3 linked regions of the Styela clava genome follow. The protein of the gene in region 1 purifies or fractionates together with the protein of each later gene. This does not show direct contact. Links are inferred from orthologs where the notes say so. Each region holds a gene or a part of one and is shown on either strand. Other genes may lie near its edges.

Region 1 (6,874 bases):
AATCGAATATTTTTTTCGAATGGAATAATTCGAATATTTTTAACGAATATCGAATAGTCGAATAACGAATATTTTTATGCACAATGGAAGGTCCAGAACGTCGGTCGATACTTCCTTTGGAAATTAATAAGACATTGAAAAATCGGCTACAAAGCGTTTTTTTACTGGTTGATTTCGTCATAATCGCTGATCGTTTTTGTCACAGTGACCGTTTTTGCGGCGATATATAATCTATATTACCGGCATTACCGCCCTTTCTGTTTTTTGCAAGTATTAATTCTTTCGGGTCGTCGGACAAGTTTATATTTCCGGTTCACCCGTGCGTTCACGTCGGTAACAGCTGTTAAAACCATTAAGGATTGATTTCAAACCCAAATTAATATTATTCTAATTTTCATCATTTGCGTTGGCTTTCATATTACTTATCAACGTTTGTAAATTTACCGTCACAATATCAAGCGAACGGTAATATTACTATTGATACCGGGATGCAGATATTTATTAAGACAATACCAAAATTAACTTTGCTATGCTTTTCTATGGTGTCTATGTTACTTTACAGATAAACCTCGCAAAGCTGCGATTGCGTCAATCTCGAATGTTGATTTAAAATGGTGAGTGGTGACTAAATAATTCGGCAATAAAGGCATTTCTGCGTAGCCCTATGAAGAGTTGACGTTAATAAACAGCGCTTCTTGAATAATAATTTACATATGCGACCCGATGCTGAATGAAAAAAATTGCTCTTTTGTGCCTAATAGATTGCCAGGCGCTAAATATAACTAAATCTTTCAAGTTCCGACGTTTTCTTTCAAGAAACCCCGCGATCCATCGTTACAGAGTAATTCACAATTTTAGTGCAAAAATGCTCAAAATATAACGAATGTAATCATTTCCGATGATACAACAATTCGTAAACAGTGCGCGTTGTTACATCGAAATTCACGACTGATTTTACGTTATGATTTTTACACTCCACCCGCCATGCATGACCGAGTGAAACGATTACATTTTCGAAACATCACTTGGTCAAGAATGAAAGGGATCACCAAAGAATTAATTGAAAGTACATTAAAAGAACTATGTTCTGCCATTTCTTTTCTGGTCATAGCTTGTGCGTGTTATACTATGTATGGTTTCATGCAAAGGTTATTTCAAATTTTAATTTTCGTTAAACAAATTTATGTTTGGTTCACGTGCCGCCAACCATACGGAGTTTAAAATCTGGGATATTTATTTTAAATACCTCATCTGATTTGTCGTTTCTAAATTTAGGGAACGGTGTCGGTATCTTTTTTTGCAAAATAGGCAGTTGAAACGAACGATTGGAACGCAAAGAAAACAAATAACACCACAACGCAAAGACAATTTTTCAAATTTGTCGCTTTTGTCTGTTAGCGAGCATTGTAGGTGAATTCTCGAGCAATTCACGTTCGGTTCAGAGACGTTCTGTATCCGAGTGAAGCGACACAGATCACGTGGTACCCGATATTTGAATAGTAAAATGCCATTCAAATAATTTAATATTCTATTCGCTATTCGAATATTTTGCCCAGCCCTAATAGGCATCCACAGTGACCATCCACAGTGACACTAGATTCTCATCTGTGAAAATGCCTCTCATGGAAAGATGTCTCCATCAACAATAGCCTTACCTGCATTGCTCTCACAAGCGCAGCAATCATTCCAGGGTTATTCATGATAGCCTGACGGCTTGCAACTTTCTTAGAAAGCATATGAACCATCTGTGCAGCTTGTTGCACGACAACCTGATCTTCATCATTGAGTAGAGTGGTTAGCTCTGGAATTGCTTTTGTAGCAAGATCAGCATCATCCTAAAGGAACAAAGATATTTAGTTTCGACATAGGCAACAATCTAAAATTCATTCTGATGTGCAGAGGGGATGATTGTTACTGGTCGCACAAATTTTGGGGTATTTTTAAATCTATAGCAACATTCATCATCTTTGGCTCTTGTGTTTTGAAAATCATAACACTAAATGAACTAGGACTGTTTCAATATATTACTGAGTTACAAATATCTACTGAAACTATAGAATATGGCTGTCCCTTCACTTGTGTAATTATGAGGTAGTGAATGCCACATAAGTAAAGCATTTCAGTTCTTTGTATAACACTTTTTTGTTTGATGGGTACACTGACGTATAATACAATATTTATATCTTAATACCTGATAGTTGATAATATTAACAACAGCATGTTTCAGCATTTGAGATGGTTCCGCCAATCTTTGAACAGCAGTTGGATTGTTGGGATCAAATTGTGTGCTCGGAATCTGCTGCATGGATCCATCATCCATTGAGGTTTCAGGAAAAAGAACATCTCGAACTCTGTCGGCGCGAGTACGAGCAAATTGGTCACTCAATTCTGCAAATCAAAGTTTCATATACTAAATAATAAGAAATAACTCAATAGCGCATTCCCCTGTATACTTCAATTCCGCCACCTTCGTTGTGAAGGGCACCACAAAAATTTTCAGCCTTTCATATGGTCTTAAAAATGTGATCACATTAAAATAGTCAAAAATGTGTAAAATTGTTAGGCATAAGACAGTTTCTTGAAATTTTCAGGAATAAAGCTGGAATTTCCAGAAGACAAGAAATATAAAATTGATTAAACTTTATTGATACCGTACCTACATAAAAATATCGCATTATGATTCTACTTGTATCTAAAAACGAAACTGATAAACATACGATTTGCTTCTTCCATGGTTAATTCCCTTTGCCATTCTCGCAAAACTTGCTCGGTGTCTGTGTAGTCATCCACTGTTCCAGTGACTGATGGATTGGCAGTTGTTGCTCCTGAGTTGATACCAGAATCCCATCCACCTTGCTGCCATTGGTTCATTTGAGCTTTGGGATCTGCCATCGGAATATCTCCGGGGCTCATCATCATTTCCGCCATGATTGATTAGAAGTCCCAACACAAATATCAATAAAATTGTATTTAAAATCTTTACTTAAAATGCTTGTTAAAATTCAAACTAAAAACAATAATTCAGTATTTGGTCATTATTTATGACTGGAATATCCCGGGGCTATCATCATTTCCGACATGATTGATTAGAAGGCCCAACAAAAATACCAATAAAATTGTATTTAAAATCTTAACTTGAAATTGAAACGCTTGTTAAAATTCAAACTTAAAACAATAATTCAGTATTTAGTCATTATTTATGACTGGGTTATAAGTGTATAAGTATAGTTTGACTCCATAATCAGCGTAACAATAAAATGACTGTTAAAAACGAATAAATAAAAATTGATTATGGAATCGGGAGAGCTAGTTAATCATAACACTGTTTTTTCTGAATACCTGTATATCAACTAAGCATCGTATATAAATTAACCAAAATCTACAAATTTTTAACTTGACCAAACCATGATACATTATTTTTTGGCAGCGCGATGGTGGGCTTGGTGCCGTACTATAACTGTATAAGGAAGTTTCTAAATAATACAGTAATACTACACTATCTAACTGATATATTCAGTATATAGCTGTAACTTCGGCCCGGCAGTTCGACAAAAGCTAAGTACGGTACAATCAATTTTCCCTGACCACTTTTCGGGCTGGCGACAATTTCGTAGACTCGTACTCGAGTGGGCGGAGTGACGCGTTCGCACACACACGCGAAATAGTTCGTTTCATTTTATGTACATAATGAAATCGAATTTTCGACAAGAATGTACGACGATACTGTACCTTAAATGAAACTAAACTACTTAATTCCGTTCCTTTACGATAATACATCGCATACATATTCAGATATATACAAAAACCCATAGCGCCAAGAAAGAGCACATCCATTATGACACTTGCGCTACCGCAGTCGAAACGTACGAGTGCTTTTCAAAATGGCGTCAACCAGACGAGAAAAAGGCGAAACGGAGTCGGGAGAAAAAGTTTGTGGGCGACAATCATTAGTCATCCACGGCGCACAAGTGCAGCTTGAAATTATGACGTATCCAAACAAAACCACTGACTCGCCACAGAAAAAACTGACACGCGTGACTAGGCCTCCCGAACACTCACGCGACAATACAATAAAAAATCGTAAGCTTGAAAAGACGATCGCTGCTGTTTCCTACGGGAAACGGTAAAATTAGCCGTGAAATTGATAACCCAATGATGTCAATATTTATTTATCAAAATATGCAATACTGTACTCTAATCAAAACGCACTAATCAATTTACAACTGTCGTTCAATTCAAGCGAATATTTAACGCATTTTTAAATTGATGTAACGCTGGAATCAATTTGATTTATATAATCCTGCGTTTTCATAGCAAACATATTTCTATCCACGATGATATAGTCTTCTGTCGGTATCGATATCCGCTTTGATTTGTGCTCGTATACAACGACAGGAAAATGTTAAATACGGAATGTTTTCAATTAGAACAATAGCTTCATTGTAGACAGACCAGTATAATCCGCATCCGCTCAGCACGTACTTACCGCTGGCTGCAGCCTTTGGATGTAACTCCCAGTGTGTATTCCGCGAGTGTGCGTGAAACAGCCACGCAGTTTGTTTTGACATTACTGTAATTGTTTCAGACGTAAGTTCGCTTGTAGTTCATTGCACGATGTTCTTCTCCTTCCCTACAATAATAGAAGACATCTTGCAGGAAATCCTACATTTTCGGCATTTTCTATCCGATACTATCCCGTTGTTGCATCACGACTAATTTTCTCTGATTCTGCGTCTTATGTGAGGCTATTGCCCGACCTCTTTCTGTCTATCCTTATGTTTAACAGAAACGCTCAGAATTTATGTCCTTTTGGCGCGTGAGTACAAATCTAGTTTACATGTCAATCAGAACACGATTGACACAAGTGCTGTTTCGTAAACATAATCCATTCCCACGAAATGCATGTATGTTATCAATAAAACGCGGACATTTCCAGTGGCGGATTTGATTACGATTAGTGACTTATTAAATGCAAATCGATAACACGAAATAAATCAAGTCCGCGCCTGGGGTTAGAAGCTTTTAAGCTGATTACAGCGGATTAGACATTTAAAGTCATAAACCGACTCAATGGTATTGCTGAGGGCCAGAGCAACATGCAATAGGAATATTCAACAGAAAACGCATGCAAGCGCGCAGATCACAAACAAACTGAGCTAAAGCGATGTCGTTACAGTTAATACTACCTTGTGGATGCGTAGAAGGGTTAGTAAATCGCTAGCTTAGGGAAAACAAAGCCTTATCAAATCGTATAACATAGAATATACGTTGGCCAGGTGCCACAAAATAATTACTGTAAAACAGATACACACTGAAAACAGACGAAAAGCCTGACACCGTATACACCTAAAGCCCGATGAGCGACACGGGTATACGAAAGGTGTACAGCCTAAATCAGAAAATCTAAACTCTAATATATATAATAAATTATAAAATATTCAATCGGAGACAATAATGGAACCGCACACGAAATATAAAATGTTATAACGCTAAGAACCGACGTGAGCACGTTGTTACATCACAAATTATATAGATAATACGATCATGTGTCTGGGTTGGTGATTTCGGCTGCCATGCACTTTGTTTCATTTATGTCGAACATTATTCCCGTCGACGCTAAGGCAGTCAGTCAAATTTATAACCTGCGGTCGCTAGCCTATTAGATTGCATGATGATATTGCAGTACAATATGTGCTTACAATTTATTGTTTATTTTGAGCCGCCTTAAATAAACATTGGTATTTGTAAGGTATACAAAGTTCTTGAAAAACTGTAAAAGGTATACTTCGATAAAAAAGGTTGAAGAACACTGGTCCACAATCTACATTATGCGCGGCAGTAGTGATCCGAATAGGGAGCGCAGTGTGAGCGCTACTCTACATTATACGTAAAGCTTCACATTATACGTAAAAATAATGGTTCCCAAATCCTGACATAGTTATTGATTATTCCGATAATTTTGTATCTATGTATTTTCTGGAGACCTGATCCATTTATTAAAACAAAACTGATCCGGGTCGTTTAAGAGCATGTAGCAGACTCTGTGAAATTAGATGCAATTAACACCGTTAATTTTTTATCGCTAAATGTATAATAGCCAACTGCAAGACGCCCCTCATTCTCACACACGCCAAAAGCGACATATATCCAGCATACAACCAAAAAGTACAAGTATACATTTGAAACCACCCCTGTGAACGCCTACACTTCACCGAACCATGGTGCTATATAATATACAATTCCGAAATGGAGGTATAACATTGTGAGTGTCATACATACGATCGACAACCATCGTCGTCTTTTCTCGCCGGTGTTCACATACATAAAAGCGAAATCCCAAGGGCGAAAAATTTTATTTGAAAAAAAATAATTATTGTCCGCGGTTGTCCTCAATGCGTTGATATAGCAGCTTTATAGTCAGTGGTCTGGTGGGTTTTGGCGAATATTCTGAACAAAGATACCATTTTACCCCAGGAACACCGGTTCCACCTGACTGATTATCACCGTCAAATGTTATCATGTTAGCCTAAGGCTGTGATATTATAGCAGGAGAAAGTACAGCACATTTATTTTCCATATTTGGTAAACTACGTTGATAACGTCATACTAGCCAGGTACCGGTATCGTATCTGAAGCAGAACACAAGTGAAAGACTCAAATCAATAAGCCAATTTAAAAATAAATTGAAGGATACAAATATTCAAAAAAAAGGCAAAATTTCGGTCAGAATGGTGCTCTCTCGCATAGTACCAAAACTACGATGCTCCCGAAGTATGCGAACCAAGATGGCGGACATCGGAACGTAACATTGGTGACAGGTTAGGGTTAGGCGATAATTTTTTTTCAATTTTCCTTATTTTAGTCCTATTATCAG
Region 2 (7,377 bases), on another chromosome or scaffold:
GAATCGGGACAGTAGAGTCAAAGACAAGTTTCATCCAATTCCGACTTCAAGCCATTCAAAAAATGAGTCCCAGATAAGTGTTATCAAGAATTTTTTCTTCAACCCGGGTTCAGTTAAATCAATTCCGACACAAGCTCTAGTCAAACCTTCCTTCCTAGTGTCTATTGAAATTTCAAAGTGAGCTTCTATTCAACTACATAAAGCATTCAGGCCCACAATATCTATTCGATAATTATGGAAATCAAAGTTGATTGTGGAAATGGAACTGCTTAAAAAAAATTCATTTGCGGCATAAAATATTCAGATTGTAAGCAATGCCTCACGTCTCTGACATTCTGCAATCTAAGTCTAATCTTCGCTTTCGTTGAAGGTTTAAAAACGTTATTTTTCTAGAGATAGGAAGACCCTGCGAAGTTCCGGGACTGTATGTGTGAGCCAATAGAATATACCCCCTCACCTGTCCATAGGCTTCAGTCCCTTTACACAACTTGATGTAAAGTAGGCGAACAAAATTAGTTATATCCATATTGGTAAACATACTTCTGGAGTGCCAATAAAATTATTCATAGAGTCTTGTAGATAGAGATGCAGTCTTGTACTTTCAACATATTTAGAATCATGTTGTTCAACCAAACTGTAATAATATTGATAACTAATCATTGTTATTTCAGAAAGATAGTACTAGCCGGCCGAGGCAACAGACTTGATAAAATATCTTGGGAAGGGAAGTTACATAATTGCATTTTAAAAAGTTTACACACTGGAGATTTTGATGGAGATGGAACAACTGATGTCCTATGTGTTGCAGTAGATGGTGTCGAAACGTAAGTGGTGTCTTGGATTAAAGATGAAATTCCATTTATTCATTGTGAAATGTTGACCACAGTCCCACGCCTGGTTATTGATCCTGTGGTGGTAGAGAATAGGTCAGTGGCTCCCAACCTTTAGGCTAGGAGAGGATTTACATATTTAGGTTGTGAAACACTGAAATAGATCACAACCCATTTTATACTGGAAGCAGGACGAGATATAATTATGATCACACCTTATTTTGTGTCCTTATGTGTTAAGTTTTTTAAATTCTCCCAACACACAAATGAATGATAATTTTGGAAGAATTGAAAAAGAACATTATTTATGTCTCTCAAATAAAAAACTTTTTTCAGAGACATGATACTCTTCCCAATTCGACGTGGAGAACCCAAAGATCCGGTGATGATCGGCAATCTTTGTGTTGATAGTAATTGGAAAGTTTACGTCGTTGATGCAAACGGAGATGGAAAAGATGATATTTTATGTCGAGATGAAACAGTCGAACCAAAGAAATTTTCAAAGATTCATTTAAATATTTACGAAATCTAATTCGAGTTTTTTAACGTTTTGCTTTTATTTTTCGATGCTGGTATTGAATGTAGATGAATATAATATATACGCAAACAGGTAAAAAATATGTAAGACGTTTGTTTCTATAAATGAGCACCATTCTGATATTCGTCCAGAGGACAGGAAAGCTAACAAGGCGGCTTAGGGTTTACATATTTAATCCGGGCAGGGGGAAAGCCGTTAAGACAACTTAATCATATGGTTAACCACGATGTCAGGTCCGGTTACCAGTCCATAGGATAGGATTTACATATTTATCCCGGGGAGAGGAAAGCCGATAAGACGGCTTATCTATATGACGAACCACGGCCTCTCGTCCGGTTACCATTCCAAGTCGGGTATGGGATTAGTTTTACTGTATTGTTTGTTTTCGGAAGCATGGACTTGGTGGTGGATGAAGCCGTAACCGACCAGCGGTTACGTGAACCACCCAACGACGGCGAGGAGTCCAGCAATCCTCTCGCACATAACCATCCCTGCATGGGATTCGAACCTGTGAACCCACGCAGAGTAATTAGAGGTGCGGTGGCCAGCGTATTCCTAACGCTTAGCCCGTTGAGCCACACCGCCGCGCCAATGTCAGGTATGGAATTAGTTAGCCAGTTATTTTGCTTCCAGATGCATGAACTTGGTGGAGGAATCCGACCAGCGGTTACGTGAACCACCCTATGCCCTCGAGGAGTCCAGCAACCCTCTCCCACATAATTATCACCCACGGGATGCGAACCTACGCAGGGTAATCAGAGGTGCTGTGCCGTGGCAAGCGTACTCCTAACGCTTAGCACATTACGCCTCACCGCCGAGCTTAATAATATTTTCAACCTCTCGTCCTGTTTCCAGCCGATGGCGCGTATAGCGATAGTTCTGTATCCCATCATATATACCAGATGGTGAGATGCATCATATATACAGTTATGCAAAGAAAATGATTGATATAACAAAACATGGTAGCTAATCTTTATGTTGCATTCTTTGATGGTGTTTAGACAGGGGAGTATTGAAATTTTTACCTCAATCAGCGTTCAGTCAGGGATACCGTAGGTTTTTAGATGATCTATTTCAGGGATGGCGAACCTTTTTCAATGAATGGGTCAAAAATTATAATTTTATCGTGGAACAGAAGAGAGTGGGTCACAGATATTTAATTCACGTTTGTATCTATAAGAAACTTCTGAAACAAATCTTATAAGCTGGTGTTGGTGTAGTTTTGGGCTTTACTTATGCAGCACTTCTATCAGGGACTTTTCATGGCACTCGGTTTTATGATATTAGAGTACGAAAACACGAAAACGTTTAGGATGATGCGTTAAATTATTCTACGGTTCTAGTGTTTGGAGGTAATTCCGCTTTGATAGCGTTATAATTTTCGATCAGCTTTCAACCACATTAAGCCACTTTTACACTGCCCCATTGTTTCATCAGATTTCTAGATTTTTATTTCAAGACTGAAAGTTTTTGTTTTCACAACAGCATTGTAGACGAGAAACTAATAAAATGCAAAGTAGCATCTAGTTCTCGTATAACCCCTAAAACAGTCTGCAGATGCAATTCCAAAAAAGACAGGCGTTGCGAGAAATGAACAGATCAATTGCATTGTTATGTCATAAACGATGTCAGGCCCAATAGCTGAATAACGGTACACAGCGGTGCATACATGCGTACAAGATTAGGGGTTTTGAAAATTACCATACCGGCCCAAAAATCAACATTTTGAACTTGAGCGATCGCAGCCCTTCCTGACTGTCCAATTGACGGTACATTATAATAGTTTAGCTATTGTTAGATTAATTTAAGGCCGGTTTTATCAATTTTTATCACTGATATGTTAGCATTTTTTTTAATTTTATTCGTGCCTTCGCTTGGCGGGTCACAAATAAAACGCAGTGGGTCACTTTGTGACCCGCGGGTCAGTGGTTCGCCATCCCTGATCTATTTCAATGCAGATTCGCTAAAATAAAACGAAACACATTTGAAGAATCTGGGAAATGAACAAAACCTTCAAAATAAGTTTAAATGCATTATCTCATTTTATACTAATTAGTCGCTCGTTCAAATCTTCTAAATTCGAAAGATAACAAAAACCTATAATAGAAGAAAAATCAACATTATTGGCATCCGTAGTGGGGTCATTCCAATTGGGAATAAACCGAAATTCTGCTATTGCAGATAACGTTGTTTTGCGAAGCTCTTTTACTACGGAGAAGGCTTTTTACTTTGTTCGTTATTTTCCCATTAATTTACAAAAAAGACTTATTGATTTTCAAAAAAGTTTTTTTATTATTAATATTATTATTGGATACCCCCAATACAATTTCATTATGTTTCAAATTTTAAGGTTCAATCCATACTCAAAGTTTAGCCATAACTATCACCCAAAATTACTGCACAGATTCACAGAAATAAAATAATGGTAACACAGTTTCGACATGCATATCACAAAATGTACACTTTGGACTTGGTGTTTTATTTATTCTATATAACGGCTCATTTGAGCAGAAGTTTTGTTTTGTTTTGCATATCACAAAATGTACACTTTGGACTTGATGTTTTATTTATTCTATATAACGGCTCATTTGAGCAGAAGTTTTAGGTTTTGTTCGCTTTCCCGATTCTATAATCAGTTACTTTTACTTTTGTTTTTATATATTTTTTTATCGTCTATTGCTGATTATGGAGTCGAAATAAACTTATAACTTATAACTTATAAGTGAAGTTGAGATCAGAATGAGGTTACACTATTTCGATTTCCCGTCAAGACACATCAGCGATCACAAAAATACGATAAAACAATAAAGATATCAGGCCAATCAGTTTACAAAGATTTCTGTATTTTAAAATTGTTCATTACGGATAAGAAAAATGTTTAGAAGTTTTTTTAATAATTAGAATTAAATATATTGGTAATGAGAAGACTAGAAATTTCTTCGGTTGCTAATAACGCAATAAATCACGACATGCTTGGCTGGCTTCGTCAACGGGCGCACGCTTGTATTTCTTCAATGCTCACTTTGTAAAGCGTCGTTTCCTTGTTCCGCGTTCTGGCTCTGTCTATAATTCAAGCAAATTTTGATAACATAAATCATATAATATGAAAATTGAGGAGGTTAAGAGTACTACAAAGACACAGCGGATTGCAGCGCATACTCATGTCAAAGGACTGGGATTATCAGATGACGGTAAACCTCTTCAGACAGGATCGGGTCTCGTTGGCCAAGAAGATGCCAGAGAGGTAAAATATTTTTATTCGCACATTGCTAATTATTACTGCAATTCCAACAATATCTTTTCATTTATTTGTTCTGCGATTGCCTGTTATCTAAGTGTTATCTTTACTGTAAATAAGGCTCTGAACAAGTAGCAATTGATGACTTTGGTTACCGTAAAAGCGCCTAACTTCGGACAAAATTACTATATTTTTGTCAATAACTCGGCCATTTATTGTCCAAACGGTGCCAAAATTGCTCGGTAAAACATTCGTGCGGATAATTTACATTCCCTGTAAATTTCGGTTCAATTGGACTATTTTTACTATTAAAATAATCGATATTTCTTGCCATCTGACCGTTATCCTTCACTGCCCTAACTTCGGACAGTCATTTTCTTCACTGCGTAACCGCGATGCACAGAGAGAAAGAGGCTTCCGATGCGGATGGCGAAATCACGTCGTTGCGTGAAGATAAGACGCTCGATCGTCGTCGTAACGTAACATTGACATCACGACGAAAATGCATTATCTGAAACTTCTGTCGTCCTATGTTTACATCTTTCGTTCGTTATTTTCGATACTTCAGATGAGTATAATAACACGATGGTCATTTTAATCAGGAAATGCATACGTAAATATATCTGATGCAAACCGTTTCAATCCCCAATGAAGTATTTCAACGGGCTTCTATCGAAGTCTTTGAAGTATTAATATTCTCGACGGATAGCTTTTTTTTATTCTGCGCGGTTATCTTTATAAATGATAATTTATATCAAACACACGGTAAATCCGATTGTAAAGTTTAATTTGAAATTCAACTTAATCTTGTAAACATGTAGGTCCCGTTTATTTGTTGGAGATTAAATTTATTTTTAATTTCGAGTGAATAAAATTCACCCAGGCCGTATTCAATAACTGTCATTTCGACTACTAATCATAAAATAATGGTTAAGTCAGTGCACTGTACCATATGGACGTTGGAATTATCATAGTTTTATATATTCGATTCCTAACGTCATCGATTAAGTGTGACATGTATTTTCATTAATGTAATTTTGGCATATATTTATACATGACCGAACAAAATACAAAAATATTACATTGGAATGCCGTCTTTATCTTAACGGAAATTGTCATATTGGCTCCGTTGTGTCTGGCGTCAAAATTCATTTCCACGACGCAGTGTGACGTCGTGTCGGAAGTGAGCGAAAAATAATCTACGTGAGGTTGACGTAATTTTGACGCTGCGTGAAATCTTAATATTCTTACGGAATTTATAATTCAGAATTTTAGGTTTTATTTAAATCTCATACGACATCTTGCGATCACTCAAATAAATTATATACATTGTTGTCGCCCTCTACCGAATGATGGTATTTTGACGACGATAGCTTCAGTATGAGCGACGCTCTGCGCCGTTGAATGCCGGGCAGTCAATTTTCGGCAAAATTTCCGTTTTTTCACCAAAAAAATATTTATGCAACATTAAAAAAGATGAGAATAGATGTAGATATAACAGCGCAACCTATAATAATTAAAATTAGCAATATACGGCGCGTTTTAGCCAAGATATGGCCGTTCAAAAATTTTGTCCGAAGTTAGAAACTGTCCGAAGTTAGGCGCTTTTACGGTATATATTGGATCTATGGGTTTATTGAGAAGACTGAAGTTTAGCTATATCACAGTCTCCGTGACCAGGTGGTTCAATGGTTAGCAAGGTTTGCAGTGTCAAAAACTCTCTCTGCTGGTACAGTCGGGCACAGTCTTCCGATTCTGTCCGGACATTTGGTTCAATAAGACAAAACTCAATTTGTCTCTGAAACGAGGACATCTGGCACAACGTCAGATTGCGCCATGCTTATCTCAATCATAAATGAATCGCGAAGTGCCTCGGCCGTCACATCGCAGTATGACCAAAATTGCGTTTTTTGCTAAAAACTCATGAATGCTACGATACAATTTGTTTTCCTTCAGTAAATCACATTATTTTTTTTTCGAGGATTTCAATGGTAACATTTTCAGATTGCACTTCCTTTTAGTTTGTTGCGCAGTGCCTGTTTGTTGATTTTTGCCAATATGGAGGCTCAGGATGGCTTCGCAATCACTGTTATAATTGATGTCGTTCAATCTATTCTTGAAATCATCGAACTGTGTCGTACTGACATATGCTGATACAAAACCATCATTCTGCTATTATATTGTCATACTTGATTTCTTTCAGGCATGCGGCATTGTTGTGGAGTTGATTAGAAGTAAGAAAATGGCTGGACGAGGAATTCTGCTAGCTGGACCGCCTGGAACTGGGAAAACAGCTCTTGCTTTGGCCATCGCACAAGAACTTGGAAACAAGGTTTGTTCTTGCTTTGCAGTAATGTCTTACAAAGGACTAAATTCAAATTGGATATAGTCAGTATCTATCTTATATAAGCAGTTTTAAATTGGAATCCCCGTGTCTGCAGTGTGTTTATGTTACCAAAGTTAGATGCCCGAGCGACACGCATTTGTGTTTTTTATATTTTTTAAGATATTTGTTTGTGTGTGTAATATGGGTATACACATGTGTTTCTACGTGTTTTAATAAACCTTAAATGAGGTTTTGCCAGTTTTCCCGATTTTCTCAATTTAGTGTGTGTTTATTGTGTTGTTTTGCATGGTTTTATGTTCCAGGGAAATCAAAATGAGTATTGTACTTATCTTCTGATCTTACTCCAAGTAATTTATCTTATTTAAACCGGAAGAAAAACTTACAGAATTGCATTTAGAAATCTGTCAAAAACTTATTTTTCACC
Region 3 (7,160 bases), on another chromosome or scaffold:
AGGTACAAATACTACGGGAGTCACTTGGCTAGTCACCGAACTCGTAACAGAACTAAATATAGAAAAATTGGAACAAAATTATTGCATAAACCTAACCTGGTAAACATACTTCGGGAGTACCAAAATCTCTCCTACACGTTTTAAATGAATAATACGAATTCTAAAACTTGTGAGAGAGAAAAGGGTTCAATGACCTGAATAATCTAGGTTAAATATGAACGTGTTTTTCACAAGTAAATGGATATCGGTTTTTATATTTTGTATATATATTTGAAAATCTGGTAATTCTCTACTTTGCAATCTTGTTTTTGATATATGAAAATAAAGGACATCCCCAAAAAATAAGCCCTAGTGTTATTTTTCGAAGAAAATTGAAATAAGTAACTGTATTATTTTGGGGATTTTTCTTGAGTTGAAAATCAGTGGAAAATCGGCTCCCTTCGTTAAAAAAATGTATTAATATCGAATAAAAGAATCTTTACAATTGTCGTACTGCATAACCGGTGCGGTGGCGAGCGTATTTCTAGCGCTTGGCACAATGCACCATACCGCCGAGAAGGCTTACCATACATATCGGTATAGTCGGGGCAATCCCGATTTTAGCTATAGTTGTTGCGCCGTCCCGGCCGATAGACCTCAATGACCGGTTATGCAGTATGAAAGTATGCCTTTTTTATTTGATATTCATACAAAATTGTTTTTTACCGGACGCAGGTGAACTCCTACTGGTTTACAACTCACCTTACTAGTTCAGATTGTTATGTCATAGTTATGTTATGAAGTACCATGTACCATGCGTTAATTCAACACCCAACTGTACTGTCGTTGAATCATCAAAATGCAAAAAAACAAAGTGCAAGTTTTCTGATAAATTAAAGAGCGATTTCCATTATTTGAAGCAAAGACCAATAGAGGACATTTTAGTATGGTTTACAGCTAATTTTGATTCACAATTATTACTAAGCTAAGGGATCGAACCAAGATCGGCTTGTCCTATCCGCACAGTCTCGTTTTTTGCGTCAGACATACTGTAAGCCTACCTATAGAACATTTCGCGGTTGCATCTAACAAGCGTATATATATACAATTAGAGCTGGGCATTTCGAATCTGACAGTGAATTATGCGTATCTGTTCGCATACATAAATTTTTGTGACCGTACATTTGAACACATGTGTATATCCCCGGGTTCAATCTATATGCGGGTGCTAAAACCCATGGGTTAGGGTTAGTATGGGTTCAAATATCCGCAAAACAAAAAAAAAATTTATAGGTGCAATAGTATGCAGGTGCAATTGTCGTGGGTTCAAATATAATGGAACCATAAATTTTGAATCGCCGCCATCTTGTTTATTTTGTGCGAAGTCAAGGTGTATCCTTCAATTTTTTAAAAGCAATTCTGACATTTGATTATTTCTGTCTTCCAAGTGAGTTATTGATGGAATAAGTTTCCTATTGTGATGCGAAAGCGAAGCGAACTGTTCAAATGATATTAATGTACCTGGAGTACTAAAGCACCGGTCGGCACCCTACGGCCCGCGGTCCTGATTCGGCTCGCGACATTTCCGTGAATTATGGCGACAAAACGACGGTTTAGGGGTGGGCAAGGTTATTGTACCGCGGGCCACCTAGACTGGCGGGCCATTAGGTGTAACGTGGAAGGTTACATTTTGTGAACAATATTTACAGTGTCACAAAAGAAAAATTGGGGAACAATAAGCCTCGTGCTTAAACTGAATTTAATCGCAATCTCAACAAAATCCTTGAGCTAATTTTTATCTGAGACACCAAAATTTGGTTTTACTTTGGTTGTGGCAGCATCGGGCGGGCCAAATCAATGTCCCCAACGGGTTGGATTTGGCCCGAGTGCCGTTGTTTGCCCAGGCCTGGTTTAGACGATGAATTAATTTTACGATCTACGTTTGGGTAGTTCAGTATTATCTTTGCGTAACAAAATTTATAGTAAGATATGTTTAGATTAAATTATATTATAATCTAACAATTTAGTGAACACTCGTTTAATGAGCCTCAATTTAATTGTAATCAGAAAAATGGCAAACAACGCAGAAAAGTTGATGCTGAGTGCAAAGGTTTCAAAGGCGCAGAACACTTGGGCAAAAAGGAATAGAACATTATACGTCACTATGAAACGAAGCATTTTAAAATCGGCTTAGAAAAACAATAGAAAGGAGGATAGATGGCCAAAGACGTGAAGATAGGAGTAAACAATTCAAAGTAGGTCTAACAAAACAAAGCTCTTTCTTCCTAAAACAATTTACAACGAAAACGAACAGAATACTGTTGCCAGTTTCGAAAAGTTTTTGAATTTGCTTAACACTTCGTAAAAAAGTAATTGATGACTGCAGTCGGTATTGTAGGCCCTAAAAAAAGTAAATTTATTCTCCTATATCAGCCTTTCTGCTAGAAACTTGACTCGGCTAATAGAAGAAATGTTAAAGGATGTGAAACGCGGTCAAAAGCATGCTGACGTCATTTTCCGTCTTAAAAACGAATTCAGGCTGTTTAGTATTCCGTTTGATGCCAACGTGGATACGGTTGCAGAAAACATTCGGATGGAACTTCTTAAGATGCAATGGAATGAGGAAATGAAATCCATTTTCTATTCGAGAGATGTGTGTTGCAACATGCCGCCTGATGTCAAAAAGCTATCAAGAGTGATGCAACAACACGTGTCACGTATTAGATGTCATTTGTAATTTTATGTCTCTTAGTAAGACGACTGAGTTGAGTTCACGAGTTTTCACGCGCTGTTTAAAATCTAGAATTCCAACTTCTGATCGGTGTGAAAAAAATGTGATTCATCGGTCATCCATTTAGTTCTTAACTTATTAACCCATGTATCACAGTGAAAATACCACATACGATTATATCTTCAAAATATTTCGAATTTGATTTGAAAATTTTTAGATTAGATTTTTAAATCATCAAGTACGCGATATTGCCCAGTCCTGTGACCTACGATAAGGATACTTTCAGACCATTGCCGCAAAGACGTTTTCCTGTGGTTTTACAAAATTTTAGAGGTGCAAAACTTCCTAAAAGGTAATAAAAAATTACTGTAGAGCGTAAATTTAAAAAAAGCAATGCGAAAATATATTTATACGAAATCCAAAATAAAGTACGGTTCCGTTTTGTACAGTTCCGACCCGCATCAATTAATCTCCGAGTCTCGCGTAGCGTCGCGTCAAATCGGAATCTCGCCGCCGCGTTTGGCGGATTAAAACATGAAAATATAAGAATATGGCGACATTTTGGATGAAATATCAGATCTCATTGAAAATTTAGGAATAAAAGTAATAACATTCTAGCAAAAAATACAATCTTCAACCATTGAAAATTTCAAAGCAATGGTCCATTAGTATATGAGAAAAACGATTTTTTTGTAACAACATGAAAAAAAATACCAACAAAATCAACATAACAGCAAAACGATCCACCACCACGTGTCCAACAATTTCAATTGTCGTGTCGAATCGTTCGTTACAAACGCGTTTATATACGCGGAGCATCAGCCTACCTGTGTACAAGGCGTGCCCAACAGTTGCTGAAGTCGGCGAAGACCTAGGGCTAGAACAAATAGTATCGATACGTTTTAATTTTTCTTCCTATTTAAAGTTTAGCCTTAATTCATTTAGAATTGTAAATGTGTCACAATTGGCAACCTCAGGCATAATTCAAAGTAAGGTCTTGAACATATATCCCGTCTCTGTTATACCGTTTAATTATTATGCAGATACTGTTACATTTTTAGGCAAATAAACATACATTTTCGTACCGGTAATCCGTACAACAGTACCGAAACGGTGCCCGCAATCGAACAGCCCACTTCAGGTCGCACGGATAAGTGAATTCCGGATTCAAAAATGGCGGGTTCAAAATTTCTAGACAGAATCAGTCTTGCGGAACCATTTTTAAACTGATTAAATCTTTATACTTCAGTATGATATAGCTAACGTTATGTGAAATTATATTTTGTTTTGAAGTTTGCCTATTCTTTGTTTACTGCTGGACGAAAGAGAGCTAAATAACTGAACGAAAAAACGCGATGACGTCATAAATCCAGCGCGATGAAAAACGAAAAAGTGCGAACGCATTGCGAAAACCAGATCAAACCGGTTGCAGCTTCGACTCGCTTCTTCTGTAAATTGCTTTTCGAATATCATTTCATGAAATTGACTGTTCGCAGGGAGGAGTTACTTGTCGTAAAAGAAATTTTAAAGCAGTTACTTTACAAAGCTTATATTGAAGAAGGCATAACTTGAATAAGTCGTCAAGAAGAAAGCGTAGACTAGTAGAATACTAAATACGTATTTAACAGAAATTTGAAACGAATCTAACCTTCAAAACGGCGGCTACAGCGATATCCGTTTCGGATTTGCAATCTGTGAGTATATTATAATCTATTTACGAAATTTTTGTAACAAAATTCAGTCAGAAACTAGTAAAATTGTGTTTTTCTTCCAAAATTCTGGCACATCTGTACCGTGTACCGTACGTTCAAATGGAAAATTACATAAAGATGTAGTAATGTTTCGCGGGGTTTCCCCATGATGTGTTTACAATTTCATTTTTTCTGGTTATAGGCCTATCCTCGATTGGCAATTTTTATTTTCGTGGGGAGGACATAATATAAGAAATTAAAATCGTATGTGATAAGTCGGGGAAACACCCAACTTCGAATGAAAATAGAAACGCTCGCTTTTGAATGCCCGTGACGTCATGGAAATTTTCTCACGGTTCCCACGATGAGTGGAAAACTACACGATGGTGTGTGTGCGCGCGTGAGATTGGTTTGTTTAATAACACGCGCGACGCGCTCGAGGTGGATTCACGCGCAGATGACTTTTCCGTGTTGCGAACCAGTGCTGGCCGGTTCGATCAAATTTTGGACGGTTTGGGGGTGATTTTACCGTCTTTTTGTTTTGTTAAAGAATTTTAATTATGTGAAACAACATATTGAAACGATATATCGCAATGTTCATAAAATATATATACAAATAAATTCATATTAATCACAGATATTGTGACCACTTGTTCACAGGGTATTTTTCATACAGGAATTTTCCATTTAACCTAATGGAAATGATTTTTGTAGGTGTTGTTTATAGTAGAAACGCCCAAAAGACTTATTGCATGATTAAAATGAGCCAACTGAATTTAAAAGACTAATACAGGAACCTCAAGGGTGGAGGAAAGGCTATGGATCCTTGTTAATAAGACACTGGCCATGTTACTGTTACAAGGCTATCATACTCCCGTAGTGGTTCCATTACATTTGAACCCACGTACATTTGAACCCATGACAATTTCACCTGTATGCTATTGCATCTATGGAATTTTTTTTTTTCACGGATAGTTAAACCCATACTAACCCTAACCCATGGATTTTAGCACCCGTATATAGATTGAACCCATGGATATACGCATGGGTTCAAATGTACGGTCACCTCCCGTAGTATGTACCATGTCAGCATCTTGGGTTTAGGCCACAATTTTATTCTGATTTTTCTCACTTCAGTTCTATTACGAGTTCGGTGACTGCCTGTGTTAGCCAAGTAAATATCCCCCTACCTATAGGTTTCAGTCCCTTGATGTAAAGTATGCGAACAAAATTTGTTGCGTATATACTGGTACGCATACTTCTGGAGCGTAGTGTTGGGTATATGGCTGTATCCTGCTGCGCTTCTTCTCTAGAGTAAAACAACGTGTACACTTTTTTCTCAAATTTACAATTTATTTTTATTGATTGAAAAAATTAAATTGACATTCACTCTGCCCTACTATGTCAACTATGCTTTAAAATCAAATTTATTGGTTGTTATATACCATAAATTGGTAATGAGAGCCATATTATGTCATATGATCAAACCAGATTATTGTTTTTAACTGGATAACTATTCCCACACCCAATATGGACTGGTAACTGGCCTTGGTTTGCCATATTATGGTTAAGCCATCTTATCAACTTTCCCCTATTTTTTGAGATGTTTGATCCTTTCGCGAACTACAAACTCATACCGATACAGTTTAGTTTTGGTTATAGTTAACAGGTTATTGTTGTAAAAATATTGGCGCTACGTAGTATGTGCACCAAGATGGCGGATACCATAATGTGGTATGTATACCAGGTTAAGGTTCGGCCATAATTGTATTCCAATTTTTCTTATTTTAGTTCTATTACTAGTTCGGAACGAGCCAAGTGACTCCCGTAGTATTTGTACCTGTACTTAAGGCCTTACCTGGTACACATACTTCGTTCCGGTGTCCGCCATCTTGGTTCACATACTACGGTGGTACCCAAAATATCTGCTGTAAGGAGGTCCATGCATCTCAACGAATAGCTAATTCCGTACCCAACATGGACTGGTAACTGAATGAAAGACCATGGTTTGCCATATGATTGAGCCATGTTATCATTATCAATCATTTTATTCTGGTTCTTTAACATAAATGACACAAAAAGTAAGCAGACAAACAAAATGCAAGGATACCTGGGAGGCGAGCATAAGTTAAAATAAGTTAGAGCATAAGTTTAAAAGCATATAACTTGATACAAGGCTCTGCCACGCCAAAAAATTATCATCTTTTCCCTTTTGAAATAAATATGAAAATCCTATCATGTCATGGTGTGACAGTATTAATGAATTAATCAGTTAAAATTTTGAAATATTTCTTTTTCCAGGCATCCAACAAAATGACGCCACCAATCAATACTAATTCCATGGGAACGGTATTAACTCAGCAAGTCGGCCAGCAGTTGCTGGACTTCTCACAGAAATTGGATATTCAACTCCTTGATAATGTCGTAGGATGTATGTACGACGGATCTGGACAACCGGTAAGATGTTTTTCAAATTGAATTATTATTTTTGAAGTCTGTATAAAAAGTTTATTCGATTCAGTCTGTTCAAGATCAGTGGTTCTCTATCCGCGGGCCAATTACGGCACGCGCAACGATTTAATATGGCCCGTCGAACTTATTTGAAAAAATTAAACACTTCATATTTATCATCTTTTTACGTTCTAGATACCAATTTTTACGCCGTTATCACAGTTTAAGCACGTGTATATTTGCGACAACTCAATTATAATGATATTTTATTATACGGTTCTGATATGGGCCCTTTGGGTGTGAGAATA

What was found. Proteins that work in one complex are often made in the same cells at the same time.
Region 2: the proteins of catenin beta-1-like (region 1) and ruvB-like 1 purify together in Homo sapiens (affinity purification with mass spectrometry; 6 studies listed by BioGRID and IntAct, with this or other methods). This does not show direct contact. The link is inferred for Styela clava from reciprocal best matches to the Homo sapiens genes CTNNB1 and RUVBL1.
Region 3: the proteins of catenin beta-1-like (region 1) and exportin-1-like purify together in Homo sapiens (affinity purification with mass spectrometry; 3 studies listed by BioGRID, with this or other methods). This does not show direct contact. The link is inferred for Styela clava from reciprocal best matches to the Homo sapiens genes CTNNB1 and XPO1.

What each region holds. Positions count from the first base shown.
Region 1 is NC_135250.1:17,839,027-17,845,900, reverse strand, and holds the start of catenin beta-1-like, read right to left. Parts: upstream 3,033-6,874; 5' UTR 2,929-3,032; coding exon 2,718-2,928; intron 2,389-2,717; coding exon 2,192-2,388; intron 1,836-2,191; coding exon 1,656-1,835; intron 1-1,655. UniProt on the Homo sapiens protein: Key downstream component of the canonical Wnt signaling pathway.
Region 2 is NC_135256.1:5,659,336-5,666,712, forward strand, and holds the start of ruvB-like 1, read left to right. Parts: upstream 1-4,359; 5' UTR 4,360-4,471; coding exon 4,472-4,612; intron 4,613-6,809; coding exon 6,810-6,938; intron 6,939-7,377. Other genes in the region: uncharacterized protein LOC120328125, read left to right, coding at 672-824, 1,167-1,362. UniProt on the Homo sapiens protein: Possesses single-stranded DNA-stimulated ATPase and ATP-dependent DNA helicase (3' to 5') activity; hexamerization is thought to be critical for ATP hydrolysis and adjacent subunits in the ring-like structure contribute to the ATPase activity.
Region 3 is NC_135255.1:23,657,003-23,664,162, reverse strand, and holds the start of exportin-1-like, read left to right. Parts: upstream 1-4,142; 5' UTR 4,143-4,404; intron 4,405-6,702; 5' UTR 6,703-6,714; coding exon 6,715-6,858; intron 6,859-7,160. UniProt on the Homo sapiens protein: Mediates the nuclear export of cellular proteins (cargos) bearing a leucine-rich nuclear export signal (NES) and of RNAs.